Anolis sagrei: one gene and its partners. The protein of the gene in region 1 interacts with the protein of each later gene in a pairwise test. Links are inferred from orthologs where the notes say so. Each region holds a gene or a part of one and is shown on either strand. Other genes may lie near its edges.

Region 1 (7,314 bases):
TAAGCAACTGCCTCCAATTTCACCAGCCAATCAGACCGCACTTCCAGCTATGAGGCTGACTGATCACTCCACCCCCCTACTCTCCTTAGCTTTTCCAAGCCAGGTCTATTTACTGCCTTTACACCAACCCTACAAGGTAGACTAATCCGTTACAGCCTGATATGAGAATTAATAAATAGTTCAAAGGCACTAGATCCCATCTCATCTTGGAAGCTCAGCAGGACAAGCACTTGGGTGAGAAGTGTTTTAGGCTGTATTTTAGGCCGCCCTGAGTCCCTCCTCGGGGGTGAGAAGGGCAGGGTACAAATGTATGAAATTTAGAGGAAGGAATTCAAAAACCCACCTCTAAGGGTACCTGGTCTTTAAAAAGCGCTATGAAATTAAGGTGAAATAAAACAAGAATATGTTTATATTTGTTATAAATCGATAGGCAACTTGAGGACACATCACACATGAAGGTGAATGACACAGAACTTTGAAGGAGGGGACTGTTAAGAAGTTGTATTTTGGAAGTAACTTCAAACTCATTATACAAATAAATAAATTATTGCTACCTTAGGTCCCTTCCACACTGCCCCTATATCGCAGGATCTGATCCCAGATTATTTGTTCATCTCAGGGCCCTTCCAGACAGGCCCTATAACCCAGGATCTGATCCCAGGTTTTCTGCTTTAAACTGGATTATATGAGTCCACACTGCCAGATAATCCAGTTTAAAGCGGATAATCTGGGATCAGATCCCGGGTTATAGGGCCTGTCTGGAAGGGCCCCCAGATGATAGGGAAATGGAGACTCATATAATCCACTTTAGAGCGGATAATCTGGGATCAGATCCTGGGATACAGGGCAGTGTAGAAGGGGCATTACTCTCATGGCACCCTTTTCTCCACAAAGAGATTCTTCACTGCTTTTAACTTATCACCCTCAAGCTCTGAATATCATAGACTCAACCATTTCAATCAAGGTCCTTGATTTATTCCCGCTTGTGGTACAGAGTTGACAGAATGCAAATCTGCAGGTTTTACTTTGTGGTTTCCTTTTCTTTTTTCTACTAGAACCTCAAGCGCCACCAACCAGTCAGATGGTGACTCTGATAGACAGAGAGATGCTAAGGAACAGAGCACCTCTGGGCATGTTCTCTGCCCAGGAATTTGTGGTCAATACCTGAACTGAGGCTGGATCGACACTGCAGTTTGAACTGCATTACAATGGTCAGTTCAGAAACTCATATAATGTAGTACAGTGCATTATTTGGCAGTGCTGATCCAGCCTCAGTTCATAAGATGTTTCAAATAACCACCCCAATTCCACACCTTCCAGCATAATTTTTCTGCAACCTAGGTGGTGACCAACTTTACAGGGAGTCTAATGTGTCCAGTGATAAACAAGTAAATGCCAATCTACTTTTTTTTTTTACTGTTTCTGCATAGGTTATATCAGGCCCCATTCTACACTGCCATATAATCAATTTTATGAAAACAGATAATCTGGATTTTATATGGCAGTGTAGAAGAGGCCTGTGTTAATTATACTCCCTCAGTCTCAGGCCCCTTCTACACTGCCACATAATCCAGATTATCAAAGCAGATAGTCCACATTATCTGCTTTGAACTGGGGTCCTTTCCACGCAGCTGAATAAAATCTCACATTATCTGCTTTGAACTGGGATATATGGCATGTGGACTCAGATATTCCAGTTCAAAGCAGATATTGAGTCCCGGCCCTGAGTTACTGCCCCCCCCCCCCCCAGTAGAGAAAGGCGGGGTATAAATAAGGTAAATAAATATTCCGCCTTGATATTCTGAGTTATATGGCTGTGTGGAAAGGCCCTGGATTATATAGTGTACACCAACATATGATCCAGTTCAAAGCAGATTTTATATGGCAGTGTAGAAGGGGCCTCAGAGAAAGGCCATGGCCAACCCCTTCTGAACACATTTTGAGAAGAAAAAGGGATAGGGACTCCATCCTCAACTTGAAGTAACATGAGAACAGGGGGGGAAAGTAGGATGAAGAGCATTTTCTTTACAGAAGGAAGGAATGAAGGAAGTTGCAGAGAATCTTCTTAACTTGCAACAGATGTTATATAAGAGGCAGAAAAACCTGTTTATTCTCTTTTCAAAAAGAACATTGATCATATCTGATTATTCAGGCCTCAAAAAGTACTGCTGTCAAGTTAAATGTTATTTTTGGCTTTGTTCTGCCTTTGGTTATACCTTTGTGCACACTTATGCAAAGGGAGAAAAAAGTGGAAGGGAAATGACATCAGGCGAACTATTTGACTCCAGAAGCAGAAGACAACTCCCCACTCATGCCTAATATAAAATCCCTGAGTAAGGATGCATCTACACTGTCAACATTGGTGATCACTCGTGTCCGAGTGGGATGGCCTTCCAAGCACAGTGTCTTGGTGGTGGGTCTGTAGGTGACTCTGGAGCCCACTTCTTGATCCGCATGTTCTTCTGCAGTGAGGACATTGGTTTCCAGATGGAAGAAGGTCCTGGTCAGGGTTGGCTTGATACACCTTCCTCTTGATGCATTTCTCACTTTCGCCCTCCGTTTGTGCCGCTTCCAATTCCACAGCACTTTGGTCACAGCTGACCTCCAGTTAGGGCGCTCACGGACTAGAGCTTCCCAGTTCTCAGTGTCTATGCCAGTTTTTAAGATTGGCTTTAAGCCCATCTTTAAATCTCTTTTCTTGTCCACCAACATCCCATTTTCCGTTCTTGATCTGAGAACAGAGTAACTGCTTTGGGAGATGGTAATCAGGCATTTAGACAACGTGGCCAGTCCACTGGAGTTGATGTCGTAGGAGCATCGCTTCAATGCTGGTGGTCTTTGCTTATTCTAGGACACTGACATTTGTCTGCCTGTCTTCTCAAGAGATTTGCAGGATTTTCCGGAGGTAGCGCTGATGGAATCGTTCTAGGAGTTGCATGTGACGTCTGTTGAGTGTCCACATTTTGTAGGCATATAACAGAGTTGGGAGAACAATGGCTTTATAAACAAGCTCCTTGGTCTCCCTATAGATGTCCTGATCCACAAACACTCTCTGTTTCATTTGGAAAAATGCTGCACTCGCAGAGCTCAGGTGGTGTTACATTACAGTGTCAATGTTTGACTTTTGTGGAGAGATGGTTACCAAGGTAGTGGAAATGGTCAACATTTTCTAATGTTACATCATTAAGTTGTATTTCCAGCATTGCAGAGAGACTGGCTGGTGCCTGCTGAAAGAGCACTTTTGTTTTCTAAATGTGGAAAAAACCATGCTTTCGTATGCTTCTGCAAATGTGTTTCAAGTAACTTGTAGGCCTTCTTCTGAATGAGCACAGACTCCATTATCATCAGCATATTGCAGTTCTATAACAGATGTTGTCACCTTGGTTTGGCTTTCAGTCTGCTGAAGCTAAATAACAGAATGAGTTAAATGTACACTGTAGAACAGGTATGGGCAAACTTCGGCTTTCCAGGTGTTTTGGACGTCAACTCCAACAATTCCTAACAACCAGTAGACTGTTAGGAATTGGAGTTGAAATCCAAAACAACTGGAAGACCAAAGTTTGCCCATGCCTTCTGTAGAATGGGTGTAGTTTGACACCACTTTAACTGCATTGGCTCCATGTTATGGAATCCTGGGAGTTGTAGTTTGGTCAGGCACATTTTTGGCAGGGAAGGGTACAGAACTTCTTAAATTGCAACTCCCATTTTTCCATGGCATTCAGCCAGGGCACTTAGGACAGCAAAAAAGGTTTTCCCCTGACATTAAGTCCAGTCGTGTCCGACTCTGGGGTGTGGTGCTCATCTCCATTTCGAAGCCGAAGAGGCGGCGTTGTCCGTAGACACCTCCAAGGTCATGTGGCCGGCATGACTGCATGGAGCGCCGTTACCTTCCCGCCAGAGAGGTACCTATTGATCTACTCACATTTGCATGTTTTGAAACGGCTAGGTTGGCAGAAGCTGGGGCTAACAGCGGGAGCTCATGCCGCTCCCTGGATTCGAACCTACGACCTTTCGGTAAGTAAGTTCAACAACTCAGTGGTTTAACCCATTGGGTGCCTCCGGCGTGCAGCTGTACAAACAAGCCCCTCCCACTCCGGCACGCCCACCCCTCAAAGCCCCTCCCACTCGGCCGCCGCGTGCCTCTCCGCCTGGCTCGTCGGGCAGCGGGCGATACATAGAGTGGGCGGGGGTGAGCGAGTCGCGTCTTTCTCCAGGTGGCTAGAGTGGTCCGCCTCGCGCGCCCTCCTTCAGTCTTCCCCATCCCCGCCTCTGTGAGGGCACAGAGACAGAGAGAGAGAGAGACGGGCATCCGGGTTGGAGCTGGCGTGTTTCCGGTGGTGGCTGTGAGGGAGAAAGAAAGGGGTGGGGGAGCGAGCGGCGGAGCGGCGGATTCCCCCACCCGCAGCCGGGCCCCGCGGGAGGTAGGCCGGAGCCGAGGCGGGGCGGGGGCCTGCCGCGGGGAGCGGGAGAGCGGGGAAAGGCCACGGGGCGGGGGGTGGTTTGGAGGCACAGCGCCTGAGGGCCGCCGCCGGTCGCGCCTTAGACGCCCTTGTTGCCAGGGAGGCCCGCTGGGCAATCGGGGCTGTTCGACGCCCCCTGTGCGGCCATGGCTCCTGGGATGTGTAGTGTGGTGAGGCACCGGCCTCCTTGGGCAGCAAAGGCTCAAGGCCTGGCCGAATAGCAGCTCCCAGGCTTCCACAGCAATTGAGGCATGGCAATTAAAGTGAGATCAAACTGCATCAATTCTGCAGTGTAGACGCGCCCACAGTGGGGCTTCCTCTTCCAAGGCTTGACAAGCACTTCCAGGCAGTTCTGGCCTCCGCAGTGTATGAGAAACTACCATGAGCAGAAGGTATGTCTAAGGCAGGCATAGGCAAACTTGGCCCCTCCAGGTGTTTTGGACTTCCGGCTGTTAGGAATTGTGGGAGTTGGCGCCCAAAACACCTGGAGGGCCCAAGTTTGCCTATGCCTGGTCTAAATAGAAACAGTGAGGACATGTTTGTTGAAAAACGGCAAACTGACCATGAATGTGAGGAATATCTAAGGGGAAACTCAATGGGAATAATAATAATAATAAGAAGCATTATTTTTATTACTTGGGTTGTTGTAGTTTTTTTTTTTTCGGGCTATATGGCCATGTTATAGAGGCATTCTCTCCTGACGTTTTGCCTGCATCTGTGGCAAGCATCAAGGTAGTGAGGTGACTAGGTGAGGTCACTACCTCTGAGGATGCTTGCCATAGATGCAGGCGAAACGTCAGGAGAGAATGCCTCTATAACATGGCCATATAGCCCGAAAAAACCTACAACAACCCAGTGATTCTGGCCATGAAAACCTTTGACAATACATTTTTATTTTTTACTAGCTGTCCCCTGCCACGCATTGCTGTGGCCCAGTCTGTTGATCTGGACAATAAAGTAATGAGAAAGTGTTGGTTTCTATTATATGTAATTTCTTTATGCTTGTGGGTAAAGAGTATTTCTTGCTTTTTCTTTGTCAGTGTTTATGTGGAGAGTGTCTGGTTTGCCTCCATGCAACATATCATTGTCCTTCTTTAAGGGTCTCTTTCAAATCTATGATACTATATCTCTCTCTGTGTGAATCATATCTATCTATATCTATCTATGGCTGGATGGCTCCTTGTCAGGAGGACTTTGATTACGTTTTCTTGCCCTGATGAAGGTAGTTGTATTGCATGACCTTAAGTATTTTCTGTTGGTCATGGGGGTTCTGTGTGTGAAGTTTGCCCCCGATTCTGTCCTTTGTGGGGTTCAGGATGCTCTTTGATTGTAGGTGAACTGTAAATCCCAGTGACTACAACTCCCAAATGTCAAGGTCTATTCCCCCAAACTCCCATCTGTGTTCATATTTGGGCATATTGAGTGCTTGTGCCAAGTTTGGTCCAGATCCATCATTGTTTGAGTCCACAGTGCTCTCTGGATATAGGTGAACTACAACTCCCAAATTCAAGGTCCATGCTCACCAAACACTTCTAGTATTTTCTGTTGGTCATGGGAGTTCTGTGTGCCAAGTTTGGTTCAATTCCATCGTTAATGGAGTTCAGAATGCTCTTTGATTGTAAGTGAAATATAAATCCCAGCAACTACAACTCCCAAATGACAAAATCATAATTTTTTGAGTGATGGTCACTCCTTGTGTTGTGAGACGTTTTGTTGCCAAATTTGGTGTGATTTTGTTCATTGGTTCTTTTGTTTTTAAGGTAATCATTATGCACAAAGCATTTATATATATATAGATTTGCTTTGAAGTCCAAAACACCTGGAGGGCCCAAGTTTTGCCCATGCCTAGTCTAAAGAGAAACTGTTTGTTGAAAAACGGCAAACTGACCACGAATATGAGGAATATCTAAGAGGAAATCCAATAATAATAATAATAATAAGCATCATTTATCTTTATTTATTTCAAGTATTTATACCCCTGTCCTTCTCACCCCTGGAGGGAGACTCAGGGCGGCTTATAACAGCCAACCATTAGATGCCAAACAAATACATTAAAATACACAGTTACAATGAAAACAGCAATTAAAAACAATTATAAACATTCAATTTAAAACAGTCCGCCAGTTCAGAATCATAGTCCAAGGTCAGTCTATTGCCGGTCACGTCAAACATTCTCTTCCTAGTTGCTACATTTACTGCTCAAATGCTTGAACCCACAGCCAGGTTTTAATATTATTATTTTTTACAAAAGGCCAAGACAGAGGGCACAGACCTAATTTCATTGGGGAGGGAGTTCCACAGCCAAGGATCCACCACGGAGAAAGTCCTGTCTCCCATACCCACCAGTCTCACCTATGAAGGTTGTAGGACCGAGAGCAGGGCCTCCCCAGATGATCTTAATGTTCTATCCTGCCCCCTCTCCCCAAAGGGACTGGACAACTTACAGAAAAACAAACGAATGCATTATATAATGAATAATAATAATAAGCTTTATTTATATTCCGCCCCTCTTCCTAAAGGACCTCAGCAACTTACAGACAGTGATCAAATATCAATTAATAAAACAAAATAGCACAATAGTGTAAACATAAATAACAGTTTTAAAAACTGTTTAACCCTCTAAAAACAGTATATATAGAAATGGTGTTTAACACCAGCCAATAAGTGTGTTGAAAGATAGTTCCGGTTTATTGGCTCTTTGAGCAACAAGGATGGAGACTGGATGATGTCATTGTATTGCCAGAAACTTTAGCACGATTTACCAATAATGTAAATGTACCAGACCTTTTGGGAAACCTTTAATGATACAGTGCACACAAACACACACACACACACACCCTTTATCCACAGCGGA
Region 2 (7,774 bases), on another chromosome or scaffold:
AGGGACTGTGACCTGGCCCTCTGTTTAAAAAGTTTGAGGACCCCTGGTTTAAACCCTTGTGCCGGCAGGACTGCTGACCAAACGGCTGGCGGTTTGAATCCAAGGAGCAGGGTGAGCTCCCGTCTGCCAGCTCCAGCTTCTTTACTTCACTTCACTTCACTTTATTTCTTAATTAGTCGCTCTCCACCAAGGTGCTCCGAGCGACTTACAGTCTAAAATAGCATTTACACAATATAAAAACATTCAACATAAAAACATTCAACAGTAACTATTTGGCAAATTAGATCTGATTACTTAAATGCACAACCAAACAGCCGAGTCTTGAGACATGAGAGAAGCCTCCCATAGGATGGTAAAACATCCAGGCATCCCCTGGGCAACGTCCTTGCAAATGACCAATTATCTCACACCAGAAGCGACTTGCAGTTTCTCAAGTCACTCCTGACATGAGAAAAAAAAGTATTTTATGAAATTCTGTCCCCAAATTCCATTTTCCTCCAGTCTTCAATTTTTTACATTACAGCAAGTGAGGAATTTTACTTTAGATACCTAAACTGGCGTTTTAAGTTGCTGCAATGCTATAAATCAGGTTTTTTTGTTTCCTTTTTTTTACTATGGTTGCAGAACTGTTATTATAGGGATTTCGTTTTGCTGCATTCACTGCAAAGAGACAACCCTGGATCAGATTTCCCTGAAGGCAGAAGGGAGGTCTGATATAGTTCTGTGATCAAATGCATTCAGCAATTTGAATTGGGAGTTGTACCCCAAATTTAAAATCTGAAAGGGAATGGGACCTATTTGGTGTTCAACAGCTTCCTTGCGAGGAGGAGCAGTCAAAATTACTGAAGCAGCAACTTGTGATATGACAGCCCTATCCTGATCCCATCCGATCTTGGAAACTAAGCAGGGTCAGCACTGGTTAGTATTTGGATGATTTGGAGACTGCTAATGGTGCTGTAAGCTAACGCAGCATTACATTTCAGACAAGAAACAATCAGAGCCAGCCAATCACCTTCTAATAAAGGATTCCCCCAGGTAGGAAGCAGCCAAGCTTTGAAGCTGCAAGGCCATTCAATGCTAATCATGCCAGCCAATTGTAACATTCACATCTGCCTCAAACACTTGTGAACCGCGTTGAGTCGCCTACGGGCTCAGAAACTGCGGTATACAAGAAAAGTAAATAAATAAATAAACAGACAAGAATTATTTTTCCCACCCTAGACATTATTCCAGAGATATATAAACCTCACTTGCCTAGTTTCCAACAGACCTCACAACCTCTGAGGATGCTTGCTATAGATGTGGGCAAAATGTTAGGAGAGAATGCTTCTGACACATGGCTATACAGCCTGGAAAACTCACAGCAACCTTAATGTTTTCTCTACAGCAATTGCTATAATTCATTTTTTTTTACCAGGGTTGTATTGTGAATTTATGATGTTGTGTTGACTGTTTATTGTTTATGTTTTGCTTTGCACTTGTTGTATTTTGATTGTCACACCTTGAGTGTTCTGTGAGCCGCCCCGAGTCCCTTTGGGAGATGGTGGCAGGATATACAAAAAAGACTATTATTATTATTATTATCATTATTATTCCTGGCCTAGGAAAAACCATGCAAAAATTCAAGTCAACAATCAACTTGAGGTGCATCTACACCAGGTATGAGCAAATTTAGGTCCTCCAGATGTTTTGGACTTCAACTCCCATAATCCCTAACAGCCTCAGGGCCTTTCCTTTCCCGCTTGAGCGGCTGTAGGGGAAAGGAAAGGGCCTGAGGCTGTTAGGGATTGTGGGAGTTGGAGTCCAAAACACCTGGAGGACCTAAGTTTGCTCATAACTGATCTACACTATAGAATTAATTAAGTTTGACCCCATTTTAGCTGCCACAACTCAATGCTAGGGTTTGATGGGAGTTGTAGTCTTGCAAGATCTTTGGCCTTCTCTCCCAAAGAGTAATGGTCCCTCACCAAACTACAAACCCCATTATTCTACATCCTAAGCACTGAGCTAAGGAAGTGAAAGTGAATGCAGAATTACGTTAAGTCGACAGTGCAGATGGGCAACATTATAAAATGTTATTGACCCCCCCCCCCATGGGCTCCTGGGATTTGCAGTTTTATAAGGGATGCACCTGCACTAGGATGAATGCAGTTTTTAGTCCCCACTTTCCTTCATCTTGACTCCTGGGATTTGTAGTTTTACAAGGGCTGCATCTACAGCAGTATGAATTCACTTTGGCACTACTTTCACTGCCCTGGCTCCCTGCTATGGAGTCTTGGGATTTGTAGTTTTACAAGGGCTGCATCTACACCAGTATGAATTCACTTTGGCACCACTTTCACTGCCGTGGCTCCATGGTATGGAATCATGGGATTTGTAGTTTTACAAGAGCTGCATCTACACCAGTATGAATTCACTTTGGCACCACTTTCACTGCCTTGGCTCCATGGTATGGACTCATGGGATTTGTAGTTTTACATGGTATGGGATTTGTAGTTTTACAAGGCCTGCATCTACAGCAGTAGGAATTCACTTTGGCACCACTTCCACTGCCTTGGCTTCATGGTATGGAATGGGATTTGTAGTTTTACAAGGCTAGCATCTACAGCAGTAGGAATTCACTTTGGCATCACTTCCACTGCCTTGGCTTCATGGTACGGAATGGGATTTGTAGTTTTACATGGTATGGGATTTGTAGTTTTACAAGGCCAGCATCTACAGCAGTAGGAATTCACTATGGCACCACTTTCACTGCCCTGGCTTATAAAACTCACCAAAACGGTGCTAGACTGCATTCATTCATTCTACAAGGTAGGAGATGCAGCCCTTTGCAAAACTACAACTCCCATGATTCCATAGCAGAGAAAAGGGGTGTCAAAACTGCAAAAGGGGGTGTCAAAACTGCAAAAAAGGGTGTCAAAACTGCAAAAAGGGGTGTCAAAACTGCATCTTTCAGAGATGCATACAAAACGCACAGATCCAAAGCCAAAGGGGGTTTTTTTCCTCCTCCCCACTACACAGCCCATCATCCCCCCGCCCTCCTCACCTTGACGAAGGCGATGGGAGTTGTAGTGCCTTCGATGTCGAGCAGGAAGACCCTGACTTCCGCGGGCACCGTGAAGCCCACCATCTCCGAGAGGAAAAGAGGGAGAGGAAAGAGGAAAAGGGGGAGCCAATCAATGGGTCTCAGCCGATGCAGCAGAAGGAAGCGCCGCTCGGGCTGAAGCTCACGCCCAAAAGGGAAGAGCAGCCTCCTCTACCCACGTGGCTGGAAGCAGGGCAGCCGCATCCGGATTTGGTCCCCTCCCATTGGCAGCCAAGGAAAAGGAGAGAGAGAGGGAGAGAGAGAGGAGGGCAGAAGGGGCGCCATGGAGGTGGATGGCGGGGAGGCTCCCTGCTATGGACTCCTGGGAGCTGTAGTTTTCTAAGGGATGCATCTACACTAGTATGAAGGCAGTTTGGCACAGCTTCCTCTGTCCTGGCTCCCTCCTAAGGACTCCTGGAAGTTGTAGTTTTCTAAGGGATGCATCTACACTAGTATGAAGGCAGTTCGGCACAGCTTCCTCTGTCCTGGCTCCCTCCTAAGGACTCCTGGGAGTTGTAGTTTTCTAAGGGATGCATCTACACTAGTATGAAGGCAGTTTGGAATAGCTTTCTCTGCTCTGGCTCCCTGCTATGGACTCCTGGAAGTTGTAGTTTTCTAAGGGATGCATCTACACTAGTATGAAGGCAGTTTGGCACGGCTTTCTCTGCTATGGACTGCTGGGAGTTGTAGTTTTCTAAGGGCTGCATCTACGCCAGCATGAATGCCCTTTGGCACCATTTTCACAGCCAGGGCTCTATGCATTGAATCCTGGGAGTTGCAGTTTCACAAGGGCTGCATCGCACATGGGGTATATAGTTTTTACAAGGGCTACATCTAACTAGAAGGAATGCAGTTTAACCCCCACTTTCACTGCCCTGGCTCCATTCAATGGAATTCTGGATTTTTTTTTAAATTTAATTTATTGTGTGTGTGTGTGCGTTCTAAGGGATGCATCTACACAACTATCAATGCAGTTTGGCACCACTTTCACTGCCCTGGCTCCCTGCTATGGAATCCTGGGGTCTGTAGTTTTCTACGAGCTGCATCTACACTAGTATGAATTCCCTTTGGCGTCACTTTCACTGGCCTGGCTCCATGTTAGGAAATTCTGGGATTTGTAGTTTTATAAGGGGTGCATCTACATCTTACACTGGATGCACCTTGGCTCCATTTGAAACTCCTGGTTCCATGCAATGGAATCCTGGGAGATGCAGTGTTCCAAGTTCCCAAATTTGTGGGTCAATCACCCCAAACCCCACTAGTATTCAAAGTTGGCCATGTTAGGTCTGTGTGCCAAGTTTGGTCCAGATCTGACATCAGGTGGGTTCAGTACTCTCTGGATAAGGGTGATCTACAACTCCCAAAATCAAGGTCAATTCCCACAAACCCCTGCAGTATGTTCAGTTGGTCATGGGGCTTCTCGGTGCCAAATGTGGTCCCAATCCATTGTTGATGGGGGGGGGGGTCACAGTTTCTATGGATACAGGTGAACTATAACTCCCATAAATTAAGATCATCTCTCCCCCCCCCCCCCCCAGATGTCTCCAGTATATTCCGTTGATCATGGGGAGTCTGTGTGCCAAGTTTGGTTCAGGTCCATCATTTGTGGTCTGTGGAAGTTGGAGCTGAATCTGGTGAAGGTACTACAAATCCTGTCATTTTTGGCCCATCCTCCCCCAAACCGCAACAGGACATAAAGTGGGTCATGGGAGGTCTGTGTGCCAAGTGTAGTCCTGGTCTGTCCTTCGTGGGGATTGCAGTGGCCTGTGGTAGTGAGTGAAGATATTTTCCTCCAGATGTGATGTTTTGGCGGTGGGTCCGTAGGTGGCTGTGGAGCCCTATTCTTGCTCCGCATGTTCTCCTGCAGTGGAGTTTCCAAACGGAAGGTGGTCCCAGTCAGGGTTAGCTTGTCGTGCCTTCCTCTTGGCACGTTTCTCCCTTTTGCCCTCCATTCGAATTCTGCAGCACTGCTGGTCACAGCTGATCTCCAGTTAGAGTGCTCAAGGGCCAGGGCTTCCCAGTTCTCTGTGTCTATGCCACAGTTTTTGAGGTTGGTTTTAAGCCAATCTTTGAATCTCTTTTCCTGTCCACCAACATTCTGTTTTCCGTTCTTGAGTTCGGAGTAGAGTAACTGCTTTGGGAGACGGTGGTCGGGCATTCGAACAGCGTGGCCGGTCTAGCACAGTTGATGGTGGAGGAGCATCGCTTCAATGCTGGTGGTCTTTGCTTCTTCCAGCATGCTGACATTTGTCCGCCTGTCTTCCCAAGAGATTTGCAGGATTTTTCGGAGGCAGCGCTGATGGAATCGTTCCAGGAGTTGCATGTGATGTCTGTAGGCAGTCCACGTTTCGCAGGGTTGGGAAGACAATGACTTTTTAAACAAGCACCATGGTATCCCTATGGATTTCCCAATCCTCAAATATTTTCTGTTTCATTTGGACAAATGCTGCACTCGCAGAGCTCAGGTGGTGTTGTATTTCAGAGTCAATATTGTATTTTGTGGAGAGGTGGCTGCCAAGGTAGCGAAAATGGTCAACATTTTCTAATGTTACACCATTAAGCTGTATCACCGGCATTGGAGAGGGATTGGCTGGTGACTGCTGGAAGAACACTTTGGTTTTCTCAATGTTCAATTACAGGCCGAGCTTCTCGTATGCATCTGCGAAGGTGTTTAGAGTGGCTTGTAGGTCTTCTTCTGAATGCGCACAGACGATGTCATCAGCATATTGGAGTTCTATAACAGATGTTGTTATAACCTTTTGGCTTTCAGTCTGCTGAGGTTAAATAGGTTGCCATCTGTCCGATAGATTATTTTCACTCCGGTGGGAAGCTTCCCATCAGCAAGATGAAGTATCATAGAGATGAAGATGGAGAATAAAGTTGGGGCAATAACACATCCCTCTTTGACACCTGATTCCACCTTAAATGGGTCACTTTGGAGCCACTGCTGTCCAAGACAATTGCCATTATGTTATCATGGCTTTATAAACAAGCACCTTGGTATCCCTACGGATGTCCCGATTCTCTGCTTCATTCGGAAGAATGCTTCACTCGCAGAGCTCAGGCAGAGTTGTATTTCAATGTCAGTGTTGACTTTTGTGGAGAGTTGGTTGCCAAGGAAGCAGAAATGGTCAACATTTTCTAATATTGTACCATTAAACTGTATTTCTGGTATTTATTTATTTTATTTAGTACATTTCTATACCGCCTCTCTCAGCCTTCCGGCGACTCGAGGCAGTTTACAAGGCAAGAATTCATTGCCGCCAAGGACACAATTACAATATACGATGTAAAAAACATCAGTAACAATAAAATCAAACATTGTAATGAAACATACTTCAACCGATAATCATTAAAACAATGTCCAGTTATGCCATATAATTATTCCATTATTATATCAGTTACTCCGTTAAGATTCTTCCAGAATGACAGGAGCGAGGAAGCCAATTGACTCTCCCTAGGAAGGGTGTTCCATAGCCGAGGGGCCACCACTGAGAAGGCCCTCTCTCTCGTTCCCACTAGCTGTACTTGTGAAGATGGCAGGACCAAGAGCAGGTTCATAAGAGGAGATTCGTTCGGACAGGTAAGTTGGGCCAGAACCATTTAGAGAAGGAAGAGCACTTTGGGGAGTTGCAGTGACCTGTGGTAATGAGTGAAGGTACTGCAAAGCCCATCATCCGTGGCAAGTTTGGTCCAGATTCATTGGTTGGTTTCACAGTGCTCTCTGGATGTGAACTACAACTCCTATAAATCAAGATGTACCTAATGTAGGCCATAGGAAAGGGTAAAGGGAGAGCCAGGGCCTGAGTAGTGAGTGACACTTTTGTTCAGTGCACACAAGCTTTGTCCTATCATTCTGTGAAATATAGACTGAAGAGGTCAATGATACCTGATTCCACCTTAAATGGGCCACTTTGGGAGCCACTGCTGTCCAAGACAGTTGCCATTATGTCTTTATAAACAAGAACCTTGGTATCCCTACGGATGTCCCGATCCTCAAACACTCTCTGCTTCATTCGGAAGAATGCACTCGCAGAGCTCAGGCGGAGCTGGATTTCAGTGTCAATGTTGACTTTTGTGGAGAGTTGGCTGCCAAGGAAGCAGAAATGGTCAACATTTTCTAATATTGTACCATTAAACTATATTTCTGGTATTGGAGAAGAAGCGCTTTGGGGGGTTGCAGTGACCTGTGGTAGTGAGTGAAGGTAATGCAAAGCCCATCATCCATGGCAAGTTTGGTCCAGATTCATTGGTTGGTTTCACAGGGCTCTCTGGATATGAACTACAACTCCTATAATCATAGAATCAAAGAGTTGGAAGAGACCTCGTGGGCCATCCAGTCCAACCCCCTGCCAAGAAGCAGGAATATTGCATTCAAATCACCCCTGACAGATGGCCATCCAGCCTCTGCTTAAAAGTTTCCAAAGAAGGAGCCTCCACCACACTCCGGGGCAGAGAGTTCCACTGCTGAACGGCTCTCACAGTCAGGAAGCTCTTCCTCATGTTCAGATGGAATCTCCTTTCTTGTAGTTTGAAGCCATTGTTCCGCGTCCTAGTCTCCAAGGAAGCAGAAAACAAGCTTGCTCCCTCCTCCCTGTGGCTTCCTCTCACATATTTATACACGGCTATCATATCTCCTCTCATCCTTCTCTTCTTCAGGCTAAACATGCCCAGCTCCTTAAGCCACTC
Region 3 (8,294 bases), on another chromosome or scaffold:
TACGTGGATTGCAAATGGCTAATAATATACAAGCTGTCATAGGGTTCATATTATTGATATTGCAACCATCTATTATTATTATTATTATTATTATTATTATTATTATTATTTTCCCTTCTTCTTATCACCCTTATCTCCATTATAATTATACTCAGATTATAACTCTTGATTTACCAATAATAATAATAATAATAGATGGCTGCAATATCAATAATATGAACCCAATGGCAACTTGTATATTGATTATTAGCCATTTGCAATCCACGTATTGTATTATTATTATTATTATTATTATTATTATTATTATTATTATTATAGATGGGTGGCAATATCAATAATATTATTGATCTTGCCGCTTTGAGTCTCCTTTGGGGAGATAATGCAGGGTTATCAATAAATATAATACTAGGGATGTGTTGTGAAGGAGGGAAGCAAGCAAGCAAGGGGATGGTGGTGACCTTTTTCCATGGGACGCTTGGGCCTCATTCCATTGCTGTGACTCCAGTTTGTGTGAAATCATCCCTTTTTCCCCCAAATGCCTTTCAGCCATTGACTCATCCCTGAGGTTTCCTGTTGTTTTCGGCGCCCGGCTCCCACCCCTCCCGGCCCCTTTCCTCCCCAAATAGCCTTCACTTCCCTTGGGATCTGTAGTTTCCCAAGGCCCTGAGCTGCAAACCTACAAATCCCAGGGCGCTCTAGCATTTATTCGATAATATGGGCTCGCCCTTAGAAAAAAGAATAGCCCACAGCCCCGTTCTATGGATCCCTGGGATTCGTAGTTCTCCAAGGTGAAACTACACATCCCAGAATGCCATCTAATTAAGCATGGCATTCATTCAATAATAAAGACGCGCCTTAAGCAAGGTAACGACCATATCTCCATTGGATGGGGGGGCTTGGGATTTGTAGTTTCCCAAGGGCCTGAGGTGTGAACTATGGGTCCCAGGATGCCACAGCATTAGGCATGGCGGCATTTGTTCAATAATACAGGTAATGGCCATCTCTAAATAAATCTCCATTGGATGGGGGCCTTGGGATTTGTAGTTCCCCAAGGGCCTGTGGTGCAAACTATGGGTCCCAGGATGCCACATCATTGGGCATGGTGGCATCCGTTCAATAATACAGTCGCTTCATAAGCAAGGTAATGGCCATATCTAAATAAATCTCCATTGGATGGGAGCATTGGGATTTGTAGTTTCCCAAGAGCCTGAGGTGCAAACTATAGGTCCCAGGATGCCACAGCATTGGGCATGGCAGCATTCGTTCAATAATACAGACACATCGTAAGCAAGGTAATGGCCATATCTAAATAAATCTCCATTGGATGGGAGCATTGGGATTTGTAGTTTCCCAAGAGCCTGAGGTGCAAACTATAGGTCCCAGGATGCCACAGCATTGGGCATGGTGGCATTCGCTCAATAATACAGACACATCGTAAGCAAGGTAATGGCCATATCTAAATAAATCTCCATTGGACGGAGGCCTTGGGATTTGTAGTTCCCCAAGGGCCTGAGGTGAAAACTATAGGTCCCAGGATGCCACAGCATTGGGCATGGTGGCATTTGTTCAATAATATAGACACATCGTAAGGAAGGTAATGGCCATATCTAAATAAATCTCCATTGGATAGGGACCTTGGGATTTGTAGTTCCCCAAGGGCCCGAGGTGCGAACTATGGGTCCCAGGATGCCATAGCATTGGGCATGGCGGCATTTGTTCAATAATACAGACATGTTGTAAGCAAGGAAATGACCATATCTAAATAAATCTCCAATGGATGGGGGCCTTGGGATTTGTAGTTCCCCAAGGGCCCGAGGTGCAAACTATAGGTCCCAGGATGCCACAGCATTGGGCATGGCAGCATTCGTTCAATAATACAGACACATCGTAAGGAAGGTAATGGCCATATCTAAATAAATCTCCATTGGATGGAGGCCTTGGAATTTGTAGTTCCCCAAGGGCCCGAGGTGCAAACTATGGGTCCTTGGATGCCACAGCATTGGGCATGGCTTTCATTGAATAATATGGATGCTTCCTTAGAAAGATAACATTCACAGCTCCGTTCTATTGAACCCTGGGATTTGAAGTTTCCCAGGGGCCTAAGCTGCAAACGGTGCAAACCCAAGGAGGCCGTGGCATTGAGCAGGGCGTTCATTTTCGATAATATATAAGGTTTTTGAGGGGGGAGCAGCCGGGCGGCGGCGGCGCCGGAGTTCTTGGGCCTGAAGAGGCCCTTGGGAGACGGCGTTTTCCTGGAATTTGGAGGGAAAGGCTTCAAAGGGAAGGCAGGCAGGCAGGCCTTGGCAAAAGCCACGCCACCAGGCTGGGAGGAAGCCTCTCTTCCCCGCAGAAAGGCAGGCCCAGTGGAGCTGCGCCTACACTGCAGGAGTTAATCCAGTTTGGCACCACTTTGGCGCCCTGGGAGTTGTAGTTTGCCAAGGCCCGGAGGCTTCTCAGGCTGCATTCCTTCCCCAAACTCCCAGCATAATAGGATGTATGGCTGCATGGTCCCAGGCGGGATATCATATTGTGAAAATGTGATTTAAAATGTAATATATTATATGCACATACAAACACATACACAAACACATACACATACACACCAGGCCTGGACCAACTTGGGCCCTCCCTCCAGGTGTTTTGGACTTCAACTCCCACAATTCCTAACAGCCTACCGTATATATGTATATGTGTGTGTTACTAAATTATTATTATTTTGTAAATGGGCCCTTGGTATCAACCGTAATTAAAAATGTATTTTTAAAATATGGATATTTGATTAATATTACTAAGTTATTTTGTAATTTTCTTTAAAGAATGGGCCCTCAGTATGCACTGTAATTCAAATGTATTTTAATTCAGGGTGTTTGTGTGTATATATATGTTAATAACACACACACACATATATATATCACATTATATATATGTGTGTATATATCTCTCTGTGTGTGTTGTTAACACATTAGTAATATTTTTATGAAATATATATCCCAAAAATCCATAGAGGAGACAAGATAATATTTTTTTATTTTTGTTTTGTTTTTATTATATTTTAAAATTGTTTTTATTTTAATTTTATTTCAATTTCATTATTTATTTATTTATTTATATTTTTTAATATCTATCTAATATTTCTATCTATCCCTTTATCTCTCTATGTATTTTATCTAGCCTATCTATCCTTTTATCCCTCCATCCATCCCTTTATTCCTCTATCCATCCATCCATCCATCCATCCATCCATCCATCCATATATCTCCCCTCTCTATCTATCTATCCAATTATCTATCCACCCATCCCTCCATATATCCCTCTATCTATCCATCTCTTTCTTTATACCTCCATCTATCCATCCCTTTATTCCTCTATCCATCTATCTGTCTATCCATCCATCCATCTACCCCTTTATTCCTCCATCCATCCATATATCCCTCCCTCTCTGTCCATCTGTCTGTTCATCCATCAATCCATCCATCCCTTGATCTAACCCTCTCTCTTAACTATCCATCCATCCCTCGAGCCATCCATTCATCCATCCATCCCTCCCTCCATCCATCCATCCATCCATCCATCCATCCATCCATATATCCCTCTATCTATCTATCTATCTGTCTGTCTGTCTGTCTGTCTGTCTGTCTATCCATCCATCCATCCATCCATCCATCCATTCATTCATATATCCCTCTATCTATCTATCGATCTATCGATATCTATCTATCCATATATCCCTCTATCTATCTATCCATATATCCCCCTATCTTCTATCTATCTATCTATCTATCTATCTATCTATCTATCAATCTATCTATCTGTCTATCCATCCATCCATCCATCCATCCATTCATTCATATATCCCTCTATCTATCTATCTATCTATCTATCTATCTATCTATCGATCTATCGATATCTATCTATCTATCCATATATCCCTCTATCTATCTATCCATATATCCTCCTATCTTCTATCTATCTATCTATCTATCTATCTATCATCTATCTATCATCTATCTATCATCTATCTATCTATCTATCTATCTATCTATCGATATCTATCTATCTATCCATATATCCCTCTATCTATCTATCCATATATCCTCCTATCTTCTATCTATCTATCTATCTATCTATCATCTATCTATCATCTATCTATCTATCTATCTATCTATCGATATCTATCTATCTATCCATATATCCCTCTATCTATCTATTCATATATCCCCCTATCTTCTATCTATCTATCTATCTATCTATCTATCTATCTATCTATCTATCTATCTATCTATCATCTATCTATCATCTATCTATCATCTATCTATCATCTATCTATCTATCTATCTATCTATCTATCTATCTATCTATCTATCTATCCCTCTATCCCTCTATCTATCTATCTATCTATCTATCCATCCATCCATCCATCCATCCATCTATCCATCCATCCATCCATCCATCCATATATCCCTCTATCTATCTATCTATCTGTCTGTCTATCCATCCATCCATCCATCCATTCATATATCCCTCTATCTATCTATCTATCTATCTATCTATCTATCTATCGATCTATCGATATCTATCTATCTATCCATATATCCCTCTATCTATCCATCCATATATCCCCCTATCTTCTATCTATCTATCTATCTATCTATCATCTATCTATCCATCCATCCATCCATCCATCCATCCATCCATCCATCCATCCATCCATCCATCCATCCATCCATCCATCCATCCATCCATCCATCCATCCATCCATCCATCCATCCATCCATCCATCCATCCATCCATCCATCCATCCATCCATCTATACCTTTATTCGTCCATCCATCCGTCTATCCCTTTATCTCTCTCTCTCTCTCTCTCTCTCTCTCTCTATTGATCCATCGATCCATCTATCGATCCATCTATCTCTCCCCCCATCCATCCATCCACCCACATGCCTACCTACCTACCTACCTACCTCTCCCTCCCTCCCTCCCTCCCTGCCTGCCTGGGGCGTGCTCCTTTCCTCTAGTTAGGGAACACCGCCCTCCGGTGGCCGTGGGAGGCGCTGCAGGGCTTTTGGCGGAGAGCAGCCGAGTTCCCCCCGGCCAGCAGGTGGCGCCAGAGAAACCAAGCCCAGGAGATAAACTGCATTTTTGTTTTGTTTCCAAATCTACCCAAAAGCCCTCCTTCCTTCCTTCCTTCCTTCCGCTTCCTTTTCGGCTGGAAGGGAAGCCGCCTTTGCAAAGGAGAGACGCGGAAAAAGAAGAGGTTTTGCAGGAGAGAAAGGTGAGCGAGTGCAGGGGGAGACTCTCCTGATCTATGCATTAAATAATATATATTATTTTATGTTGTATTGAATATAATAAAATTAGTATAGATCAAATATCTATAATATTATATTATATTGAGTAATAATGTCCCAGATTAAATAAAATAATATAATATATAGTACATTAAATGTTATTTATTTTACTGTATTACATTTAATATCATATACATTATATTATTTTAAATCATATAATAGTTCCAGATTAAATTCAATAAATAGAATATATAGTACATTAAATGTTATTTTATTTATTTTACGGTATTAAATTTAATATAATATACATTATATTATATTAAATATTAGTACCAAAGTAAATCAAATAAATAGAATATATTACATTAAGTGTTAGTTTAATCACTCTCAACAAAAGATTCTCCCCAGGCACTTCCAAGCCATTATGATGTTAACTGTTTTTTATACTGTGTTATGATAACATTGAATTTTTGCTGTTCTGGTTGTTAACCGCTGTGAGTCGCCTGGCTGAGAACAGCGGTATACAAATAAAGTAAATAAATAAATTAAATGCTAATCAAGGTGGTCAGTTGAGACATTCACATCTAGCTCCAGCAGACAAGAGTCCTTTGTCCCACCCTGGTCATTCTACAGATATATAAACCCATTTTCCTAACTCCAACAGAACTCACTACCTCTGAGGATGCTTGCCATAGATGCAGGCGAAACGTCAGGAGAAAATGCCTCTAGAACATGGCCATATAGCCCGGAAAAACCTACAACAACCCATGAAAGCCTTCGACAATACATCAAATGTTATTTTATTTATTTTACTGTATTAAATTTAATATAATACACATTATATTATATTAAAACACATAATAGTTCCAGATTATATAAAATAATAGAATATATATTATATTCAGTGTTATTTTATTATGTTACGTGTAATATCTATAATATATTAATGTAATGTATTAAAGCATATCATCCAGATTATATTTAATCATGTTATTTTTATATTACATATAATATGATATATATCAAACTTAATGTTACATCATATAAGCATTCCAGATTATGTCAAATCATATATATTGAATTTAATACAATAATGTATTATATTAAAACATACAATTGTACCAGATTATATTATAATAGATATTATGTAAATATGCTATTTTATTAAATCTTATATCATATTAAATTTAATAAGATATTTCATATTAAATCATATAATTGTTCCAGATTATATTAAATAATAGAGCAGATATTTGATTCGATGAAATAGAATAAAATATATATTTGATATAAATTGTATTAATTCATATAAGCATTCAAGATTATATTAAATAGTATAATTATATATAAAATATTACATGTTCCTTTTAATATAGAAGCTTATAATATCAATATAATAAAATCAAAAATAAATATAATAAATCATATAATCGTTGCAGATTATATTCCGTTATAAAGGAACTCTTGTGTTGGGGTTTCAGATATATCGTTATGCATGTGCAGATCTCCCCAAATTGGAAAGAAATCCCAAATACTGGTTCCAACCATTTTGGAGAAGGGACACTCCATATCAACGATGATGAATGCAAGACATGAACCATGTGGGGACTCAGGTCCGGCCGCAAAGGCATCTCATTATGCATATGCAAATCTCCCATAAGAACCATGCTTTTGGGATAAGGAGTGTTGCTTGCTTTCAGGCCGGACGGACGATGCCCTTTCTGCACGGCTTCCGGAGGATCGTTTTCGAATACCAGCCGCTGGTGGACGAGATCCTCCTCGCTTTGGGGCTGCAGGGGGCGGAGCCTCAGGAGGGCCCCAAGAGGTAAGATTTATTTATCCTTATCCTAGTATTGTAATACTGGAGCACTTTATTACTGTGATTCATTAGCACTTTAACGAGGGGATAGTTTTCCGGTAGTTGTTACTCTAATGTTGCGCTTGATTTACTATTTTAAGCTGATAGTTGCTTGTCTCACCTTGCACTTTATAATTGTTGTCAACATTGGGAATGTTTCTGGAAAGAACTGGAGGGTATACCATGAAACCGGAAAAATGAATTATAATAATGGAAAAAAGGAGGATACATCATTAGGTTTGAACTTGGATGTAACATGTAACAGTGCAATATTAGATCCTCAGAATATGATGAGTGGAGAGGGCTGGAGGGAGGGGGGGAGTTCTGTGGGTCGGGGGGCCCCCATAGCGGTGATGGTGGGAAGGGGGAGATACGGGAAAGGGAGAAGCAAGAAACCAATTCGGCTAATTCGCGAAACAACCCTAAAAAAAATTCCAAAATGTTCTCCTGACAAGGTAAACTTGTGTACCAAGGTAGACGACCCTCCTAGATTGAAGGTGGTGCTGTTGAATGCCAGGTCTGTCAATGGAAAAACGTCAACTATCCGGGACTTAATCTACGATGAAAAGGCAGACCTGGCATGCATTACAGAGACCTGGTTGGACGAGGCGGGAGGGGTCAACCTCACCCAGCTTTGCCCGCCAGGCTACTCTGTGCAGCACCAGCCGAGATCAGGAGGGCGGGGAGGCGGAGTTGCAGTAGTCTATAAAGATTCCATCTCCTTGGTCAGGTGCCCTGCCCTACAGTCAACCTTGTTCGAATGTGTCCACCTGAGGCTAGGAGACCGGGACAGGATAGGGATTCTGTTGGTGTACCGACCACCCCGCTGCTCCGCAGATGCCTTACCTGAGCTAGCAGGGTTGGTCTCAGGCCTGGCATTGGAGTCCCAGCGGCTCATAGTGCTGGGGGACTTCAATGTCCATGCAGAGACCACTCTTTCAGGAGCGGCTCAGGACTTCATGGCCGCCATGGCAAACATGGGGCTGTCCCAACGAGTATCTGGCCCTAACCACTGTGCTGGACACACACTTGACCTGGTTTTCTGTCAGGGATGGGAAGATAGTGGCGGTGTGGAGGAGCTGTCCATCGCTCCTTTGCCATGGACCGACCACCACCTGATCAGGTTTAGACTTTCTGCAACTCCTA
Region 4 (7,630 bases), on another chromosome or scaffold:
AATAGGCAGATATCGGTACCGACAACAAGCCCATCTGTCTGGCGAGACGAAGAAGCTAACCCAATGTTCCCAATAAAGAAATCTTACCAAGTCGAAGGAGAAGCTACCGAGGGTAATTTTATTCATCCAGCTGGAAGACATATCAGCTCGTGGTAAGCTGCAGAAGGAAGCTGAGTTTTGTTAGTTGTTATAAGTTAGTGTTTTATATTAAGAAAAAATGTTTGTTTTCGTGGGCAAGATATATTGCCCTTTTGTTTGGTGTAATTTGTTTCTTTGTATATGTCTTTTCTTTCATTTCTTGCACAATGGTTACTTTATTTCTTTGAATAAGAATTAATGCAACATAAACAAACACTGTGTTGATCTTTCATGATTTGGAGGCGATGGAAAAACCACATTACCTTGAAGAATGTATGTGATAACAAAGCCGTAATGGGAGCAACATATTCCACCTTATAAAGGGCCATTTGATGCCAAGGGTTCCAAGAGTAGACCCTTGCCAAGTGCTGTTGTCATTGACCAAAGTTGAAAACCTCATGTGAAGAGGCTCTTCTCATTTCACAAGAATCAGGATCTTGAATCCTGTGAAAGATCCCTGCATTTGGGAAGATACAAAAATACATACCCAGAATCATAAACTGTGAAGTGTACATGCATTGGTGTGTGTGTGCACGTGCAAAACATATATTCAGAATGATGTGAATGATGCATGCATTTGGAAGGGATGCAAAATATGTCTCCAGAATAAGATATGAAGGGTATTTATTTTTTTTATTTATTTACAGTTCTTATATTCCGCCCTTCTCACCCCGCAGGGGACTCAGGGCGGATTACAGTCAACACATATATGGCAAACATTCAATGCCAGTTTTGACAAACAACGTTTAACACACAAATACACCAAGGCTATTTAACTTTTTTCTGGCCGCCAGGGGAGCTGCTGCTTTTCATCGTCCATCAACGACACCGATGAAGTTCTTCCGCATTCCACATTCCCCAGAGTCTTTTTTCTTTATGGCCTCATAAATTAGTTAAATTTAGCCTCCCACACAAGGTGGTGCCTTATTTTTCCTACTTGACAGATGCAACTGTCTTTCGGGTTGCAAAGGTCGACATGGGCTACACAATGGCTGGACACCCACTCCCAGCCCGGGCTGGCTTCGAACTCATGACCTTTTGGTCAGAGTGATCTTAATGCAGCTGACATCATGCATCTAAGGGGTGGGGGGAGCGGGGAATGCAAAATATATATATTTGGAATGATAAGATGTGAAGGGTACATGCATTTGGAGTGTGTGTGTGTGTGTATGGAAAATATATATTTCCAGGATAAGACGTGAAAGGTGCATACAATTGGGGAAGGGAGCCATGCAAAGATATAGCCAGAATGATAAGATGTGATGGGTGCATGCATCGCGGTGTGTGTGTGTGTGTGTGTGTGTGTGTGTGTGCAAAACATATACCTAGAATAATAAGATGTGAAGGGTGCATGCAATTGGGAGAGATGTGCAAAATATAAGGAATTATAAGATGTGAAGGATAAGATGATAAGATGCCTACAATTGTGTGTGTGTGTGTGGGGGGGGGGGGGGTGGGTGTCCAAATATATGTCCAGAATAATAAGATGTGAAGGGGGCATGCATTTTGGGGGGTTGCAAAATATATTTCCAGAATGACAATGTGAAATGTGTATGAAATTGAGGGAGGGGGGTTTGCAAAACATATAACCAGAATAATAAGATATAAAGGATGCAGACGATTGTGTGTGTGTGTGGGGGGGGGGGGGGGTGTGCAAAATATATCTCCAGAACAGCGTTTCCCAAACTAGGGTTGGGATCCTAGGGTGGTCACGAGGGGGTCTCAAAGGGGTCACCAAAGACCATCAGAAAACACAGTATTTTCTGTTGCTCATAGGGGTTCTGCGTGGGAAATTTGTCCCAATTCTATAATTGGTGGGATTCAGAATGCTCTTTGATTGTAGGTGAATTATAAATCCCAGCAACTACAACTCCTAAATGTCAAGGTCTATTTTCCCCAAACTCCACCAGTGTTCACATTTTGGGCATATTGAGTATCTGTGCCAAGTTTGGTCCAGATCCATCATTGCGTAAGTCCACAGTGCTCTCTGGATGTAGGTGAACTACAACTCCAAAACTCAAGGTCAGTAGCCACCAAACCCTCCCAGTATTTTCTGTTGGTCATGGGAGATCTGTGCGCCAAATTTGGTTCAATTCCATCATTGGTGGAGTTCAGAATTCTCTCTGATTGTAGGTGAACTATAAATCCCAGCAACTAAATCTCCCAAATGACAAAATCAGTCCCGTCTGCCCCCCCCCCCCAAACCCATCAGTATTCAAATTTGGGCATATTGGGTACTTGTGCCAAATTTGGTGAATGAAAATACATCCTGCATATCAGATATTTACATTATGATTCATAACAGTAGCAAAATTAGTTATGAAGTAGCAACAAAAGTAATTTCATGGTTGGGGGTCACCACCACATGAGGGACTGTATTAAGGGGTTGCGGTATTAGGAAGATGAAGAAACACTGCTGTAAAATCATACATGGTATGATTAGATGTGAAGGGTGCATGCATTTGGGGGGATGCAAAACATATACTTAAAATGAGAAAATGTGAAGGATGCATACAATGAGCGGTGGGGAGATGAAAAATAGATCTCTGGAATGAGATGTGAAGGGTGCATGCAATTTGTGTGTATGGGTGGGTGCAAAACATATACTCGGAATGATAAAATATGAAGGGTGCATGCAATTGGAGGGAATTTAAAACATATCTTCAGAATGAGAAGATGTGCAGGGTGCATGCAATTTGGGAGGAATGCAAAACATAGATTCAGAATGATAAAATGTGAAGGGTTCATGCAATTTTGGGGAAATATAAAACATAGATTCAGAATGAAAAAGGAATAAGACGAAGATGTGCAGGGTGCGTGCAATTGGAGGGAATGCAAAACATAGAATCATAGAATCATAGAATCAAAGAGTTGGAAGAGACCTCATGGGCCATCCAGTCCAACCCCATTCTGCCAAGAAGCAGGAATATTGCATTCAAATCACCCCTGACAGATGGCCATCCAGCCTCTGCTTAAAAGCTTCCAAAGAAGGAGCCTCCACCACACTCCGGAGGCAGAGAGTTCCACTGCTGAACGGCTCTCACAGTCAGGAAGTTCTTCCTAATGTTCAGATGGAATCTCCTCTCTTGTAGTTTGAAGCCATTGTTCCGCGTCCTAGTCTCCAAGGAAGCAGAAAACAAGCTTGCTCCCTCCTCCCTGTGGCTTCCTCTCACATATTTATACATGGCTATCATATCTCCTCTCAGCCTTCTCTTCTTCAGGCTAAACATGCCCAGTTCCCTAAGCCGTTCCTCATAGGGCTTGTTCTCCAGACCCTTGATCATTTTAGTCGCCCTCCTCTGGACACATTCCAGCTTGTCAATATCTCTCTTGAATTGTGGTGCCAGAATTGGACACAATATTCCAGATGTGGTCTAACCAAAGCAGAATAGAGGGGTAGCATTACTTCCTTAGATCTAGACACTATGCTCCTCTTGATGCAGGCCAAAATCCCATTGGCTTTTTTTGCCGCCACATCACATTGTTGGCTCATGTTTAACTTGTTGTCCACGAGGACTCCAAGATCTTTTTCACACGTACTGCTCTCGAGCCAGGCATTGTCCCCCATTCTGTATCTTTGCATTTCATTTTTTCTGCCAAAGTGGAGTATCTTGCATTTGTCACTGTTGAACTTTATTTTGTTAGTTTTGGCCCATCAAAATGAAGTTCAACAGTGACAAATGCAAGATACTCCACATGTATTCAGAATGAGAAGATGTGCAGGGTACATGCAATTTAGGGGAAATGCAAAACATATTTTCACAGTGAGAAGATGTGCATGGTGCATGCAATTTGGGAGGAATTCAAAACATATATTCAGAATGATAAGATGTGCAGGGAGTATGCAATTTGGGGGAAATGCAAAGCACAAATTCAGAATGAGATGTGCAGGATGCATGCAATTGGGGGGAATTTAAAACATATCTTCAGAATGATAAGATGTTAAGGGTGCATGCAATTGGGGGGGGGGGAATGCAAAACATATATTTAGAATGAGAAGATGTGCATGCAATTGGAGGGAATGCAAAGCATAGATTCAGAATGATAAAATGTGCAGGGTGCATGCAATTTGGGAGGAATTCAGAGTGAGAAGATGTGCAGGGTGCATACAATTTTGGGGAAATGCAAAACAGATCTTCAGAATGAGAAGTGCAGGGTGCATGCAATTGGAGGGAATTCAAAACGTATCTTCAGAATGAGAAGATGTGCAGGGTGCATGCAATTTGGGGGAAGTGCAAAGAAGAGATTCAGAATAAGATGTGAAGGGTGCATGCATTTTGGGGAGGGGATGCCATACCTTTTATGGAACGCACGTGGGTCCAGCTGCCAAAGAAGGGGAGGGGAGGGGGCGGGGTGAACGTGGGAGCTGGGGCGGGGCCTTTTGCTCAAGCCACACCTCCTTCCGCCTCTGAGTCTGATCAGCAGCAGCAGCATTGGGCGAGTGTCCGAGGAGGAGGCTGCAGATCATCACAGAGAGAGAGAGAGAGAGGGAAGTGGGAGGGAGGCAGAGAGAGAGAGAGAGAGAGAGAGAGAGAGAGAGAGAGAGAGAGAGAGAGAGAGGTGGGGTCAAGGTGAGACCTGAAGCCTCCTCTTGCTCCTCCTCGTCCAGAGCTGGATCCCCAGCGAAGAAGGAGAAGAAGGAGAAGAGTCCGCTAGCCAAGCAGCCAAGCAGAGAGCCTTCTCGTCCGGACCGGCTCTTATGTAAAAGCCCCTGAAAGGCGACCCACCCGGAGGTCCCCCTTTCCACCCGGAGGGATGTGCGAAGTGGGGACTCGCCCGCCTTTCCCTGCCGAGGAGGAGAGCGAGGCGGAGGAGAGACCCCGCCGCTGTCCAGCGCTCTCTCGCCCCCGGCAATGCAGGCGGGATTGCCCGGAGGAGACAAGAACCGGGAGATGGGGTGAGTGAGCCGGGGAAGGTCCAGATTCTGCTCGAGCACGCCGCCTGCTTCTTCCCTTTCTGGGCGCAGAGGGAGACTAAGCAGTGGGGAAGCCTCTCTACTTGGTGGGAGACCTCCCTGAGAAGTGCTCAAGCAGGCATGGGCAAACTTGGTCCTTCCAGGTGTTTTGGACTGCAACACCCACCTTTCCTAACAACCTCAGGCCCCTTCCTCCCCCCTCCCCCCCCCCAGCCCCAGTCCAAAACACCTGGAGGAAAGGCCCAAGTTTGCCCATGCCTGCTTGAGCCTGTGCCAGACTGCATCAGCCAGGTCCCCAACTTGAGCCTTCCAGGTGTTTTGGACTGCAACTCCCACCATTCCTAAGAGCCTCAGGCCCCTTCCTTTCCCCCCTCACCTGCCAGGTTCCCATCGTGTGGATTCCTCATTGAGATTCGCTTAAGAGCTGGCCATACATTGGGCTTGGCTGGCAGAGAGAAGGGCCAAAAGATGGGGTGAGAAGGGAAGGGAAGGGAAAGGTCCAGCTGCTGGTCGAGCACGCCTTCTTCTTCTTCCCTTTCTGGGTGCATTGGGAGACTAAGCAGTGGGGAAGCCTCTCTCCTTGGTGGGAGACCTCCCTGAGAAGTGCTCAAGCAGGCATGTATGGGCAAACTTGGTCCTTCCAGGTGTTTTGGATTGCAACACCCACCGTTCCTAACAACCTCAGGCTCCTTCCTTTCCCCCCACAGCTGCTTAAGCACCTGCCAGGTTCCCATCGTGTGGATTCCTCGTTGAACTGGCCATACATTGGGCTTGGCTGGTGGAGAGAAGGGCCAAAAGATGGGGGGAGAAGGGAAGGGAAGGGAAAGGAAAGGGGCAGCTGCTGCTCGAGCACACTGCCTTCTTCTTCCCTTTCTGGGCGCAGAGGGAGAGCACGGAGAAGGGAAGCCTCCCCACTTGGTGGGAGACCTCCCTGAGAAGTGGTCAAGCAGGCATGGGCAAACTTGGGCCTTTCCTCCAGGTGTTTTGGACTTCAACACCCACCGTTCCTAACAACCTCAGGCCCCTTCCTTTCCCCCCTCAGCTGCTTAAGCACCTGCCAGGTTCCCATCGTGTGGATTCCTCATTGAGCTGGCCATACATTAGGCTTGGCTGGCGGAGAGAAGGGCCAAAAGATGGGGGGAGTGGGAAAGGGAAAGGTCCAGCTGCTGCTCGAGCACACCGCCTTCTTCTTCCCTTTCTGGGTGCATTGGGAGACTAAGCAGTGGGGAAGCCTCTCCACTTGATGGAAAACCTCCCTGAGAAGCGTTCAAGCAGGCATGGGCAAACTTGGGCCTTTCCTCCAGGTGTTTTGGACTGTGGCTGGGGGGAGGGAGGGGGGGAGGAAGGGACCTGGGGCTATTAGGAAGGGTGGGAGCTGCAGTCCAAAATACTTGGAGGGCCCAAGTTCGCCCATGCCTGTGCCAGACTGCATCAGCCAGGTCCCCAACTTGAGCCTTCCAGGTGTTTTGGACTGCAACTCCCACCATTCCTAAGAGCCTCAGGCCCCTTCCTTTCCCCCCTCACCTGCCAGGTTCCCATCGTGTGGATTCCTCGTTGAACTGGCCATACATTAGGCTTGGCTGGCGGAGAGAAGGGCCAAAAGATGGGGGAGTGGGAAATGGAAAGGTCCAGCTGCTGCTCGAGCATGCCGCCTTCTTCTTCCCTTTCTGGGTACATTGGGAGACTAAGCAGTGGGGAAGCCTCTCCACTTGATGGAAGACCTCCCTGAGAAGTGCTCAAGCAGGCATGGGCAAACGTGGGCCTTTCCTCCAGGTGTTTTGGACTGTGGCTGGTGGGGGGGGGGCAGGGGGGAGGAAGGGACCTGGGGCTGTTAGGAAGGGTGGGAGCTGCAGTCCAAAATACTTGGAGGGGCCAAGTTCACCCATGCCTGTGCCAGACTGCATCAGCCAGGTCTCCAACTTGAGCCTTCCAGGTGTTTTGGACTGCAACTCCCACCATTCCTAAGAGCCTCAGGCCCCTTCCTTTCCCCCCTCACCTGCCAGGTTCCCATCCTGTGGATTCCTCATTGAGATTCACTTAAGAGCTGGCCATACATTGGGCTTGGCTGGCGGAGAGAAGGGTCAAAAGACTAAGTCGTGGGGAAGCCTCTCCACTTGATGGGAGACCTTCCTGAGAAGTGCTCAAGCAGGCATGGGCAAACTTCGGACATCCAGGCCTGTAGCAAGGGGGTGGTTTTAGGGGTTCAACCCCCCCCCCGAAATGTTTCAGATTTTTTTAAAAAAACCTGGCTTACTCATGAATTTTAACTGGTTAACCAAATTCCCATGCTAAGTCTATGAGATGCAAAAAATTAAGAGTTCCTCCAGAACTGTAAGCACTATCTCAAGCATAGATTGACAATTTATTCACACTGTCATTACTTGCAGCCATAGCCGATGTAGTGAAGCAACCAAGTTGGGTGTGTGTGTGTTGAATGCTCTCATTAAGGAGACCAGACTTGGTGGAGGTGGTTTACAGGAGTTGAGCTGCAGACTATTGAAGATTGCTCTGCCCCCGGCTGTGCTCTTTGCTTCAGCGTGAGGTAGGAGGCCGGTTTCAACCCCCCCCCTCCCCCAA

The links.
Region 2: the proteins of RNF41 (region 1) and ENOPH1 interact in binary tests that used the Homo sapiens proteins (3 or more experiments, as listed by UniProt). The link is inferred for Anolis sagrei from reciprocal best matches to the Homo sapiens genes RNF41 and ENOPH1.
Region 3: the proteins of RNF41 (region 1) and ASB6 interact in binary tests that used the Homo sapiens proteins (3 or more experiments, as listed by UniProt). The link is inferred for Anolis sagrei from reciprocal best matches to the Homo sapiens genes RNF41 and ASB6.
Region 4: the proteins of RNF41 (region 1) and HOMER2 interact in binary tests that used the Homo sapiens proteins (3 or more experiments, as listed by UniProt). The link is inferred for Anolis sagrei from reciprocal best matches to the Homo sapiens genes RNF41 and HOMER2.

The regions. Positions count from the first base shown.
Region 1 is NC_090022.1:138,317,705-138,325,018, reverse strand, and holds the start of RNF41 (E3 ubiquitin-protein ligase NRDP1), read left to right. Parts: upstream 1-4,128; 5' UTR 4,129-4,421; intron 4,422-7,314. UniProt on the Homo sapiens protein: Acts as E3 ubiquitin-protein ligase and regulates the degradation of target proteins. Polyubiquitinates MYD88. Negatively regulates MYD88-dependent production of pro-inflammatory cytokines.
Region 2 is NC_090025.1:17,105,865-17,113,638, reverse strand, and holds the start of ENOPH1 (enolase-phosphatase E1), read right to left. Parts: upstream 3,266-7,774; 5' UTR 3,131-3,265; coding exon 3,047-3,130; intron 1-3,046. UniProt on the Homo sapiens protein: Bifunctional enzyme that catalyzes the enolization of 2,3-diketo-5-methylthiopentyl-1-phosphate (DK-MTP-1-P) into the intermediate 2-hydroxy-3-keto-5-methylthiopentenyl-1-phosphate (HK-MTPenyl-1-P), which is then dephosphorylated to form the acireductone 1,2-dihydroxy-3-keto-5-methylthiopentene (DHK-MTPene).
Region 3 is NC_090031.1:3,738,509-3,746,802, reverse strand, and holds the start of ASB6 (ankyrin repeat and SOCS box protein 6), read left to right. Parts: upstream 1-5,191; 5' UTR 5,192-5,274; intron 5,275-6,990; 5' UTR 6,991-7,002; coding exon 7,003-7,115; intron 7,116-8,294. UniProt on the Homo sapiens protein: Probable substrate-recognition component of a SCF-like ECS (Elongin-Cullin-SOCS-box protein) E3 ubiquitin-protein ligase complex which mediates the ubiquitination and subsequent proteasomal degradation of target proteins.
Region 4 is NC_090029.1:32,558,498-32,566,127, reverse strand, and holds the start of HOMER2 (homer protein homolog 2), read left to right. Parts: upstream 1-4,563; 5' UTR 4,564-4,991; coding exon 4,992-5,035; intron 5,036-7,630. UniProt on the Homo sapiens protein: Postsynaptic density scaffolding protein. Binds and cross-links cytoplasmic regions of GRM1, GRM5, ITPR1, DNM3, RYR1, RYR2, SHANK1 and SHANK3.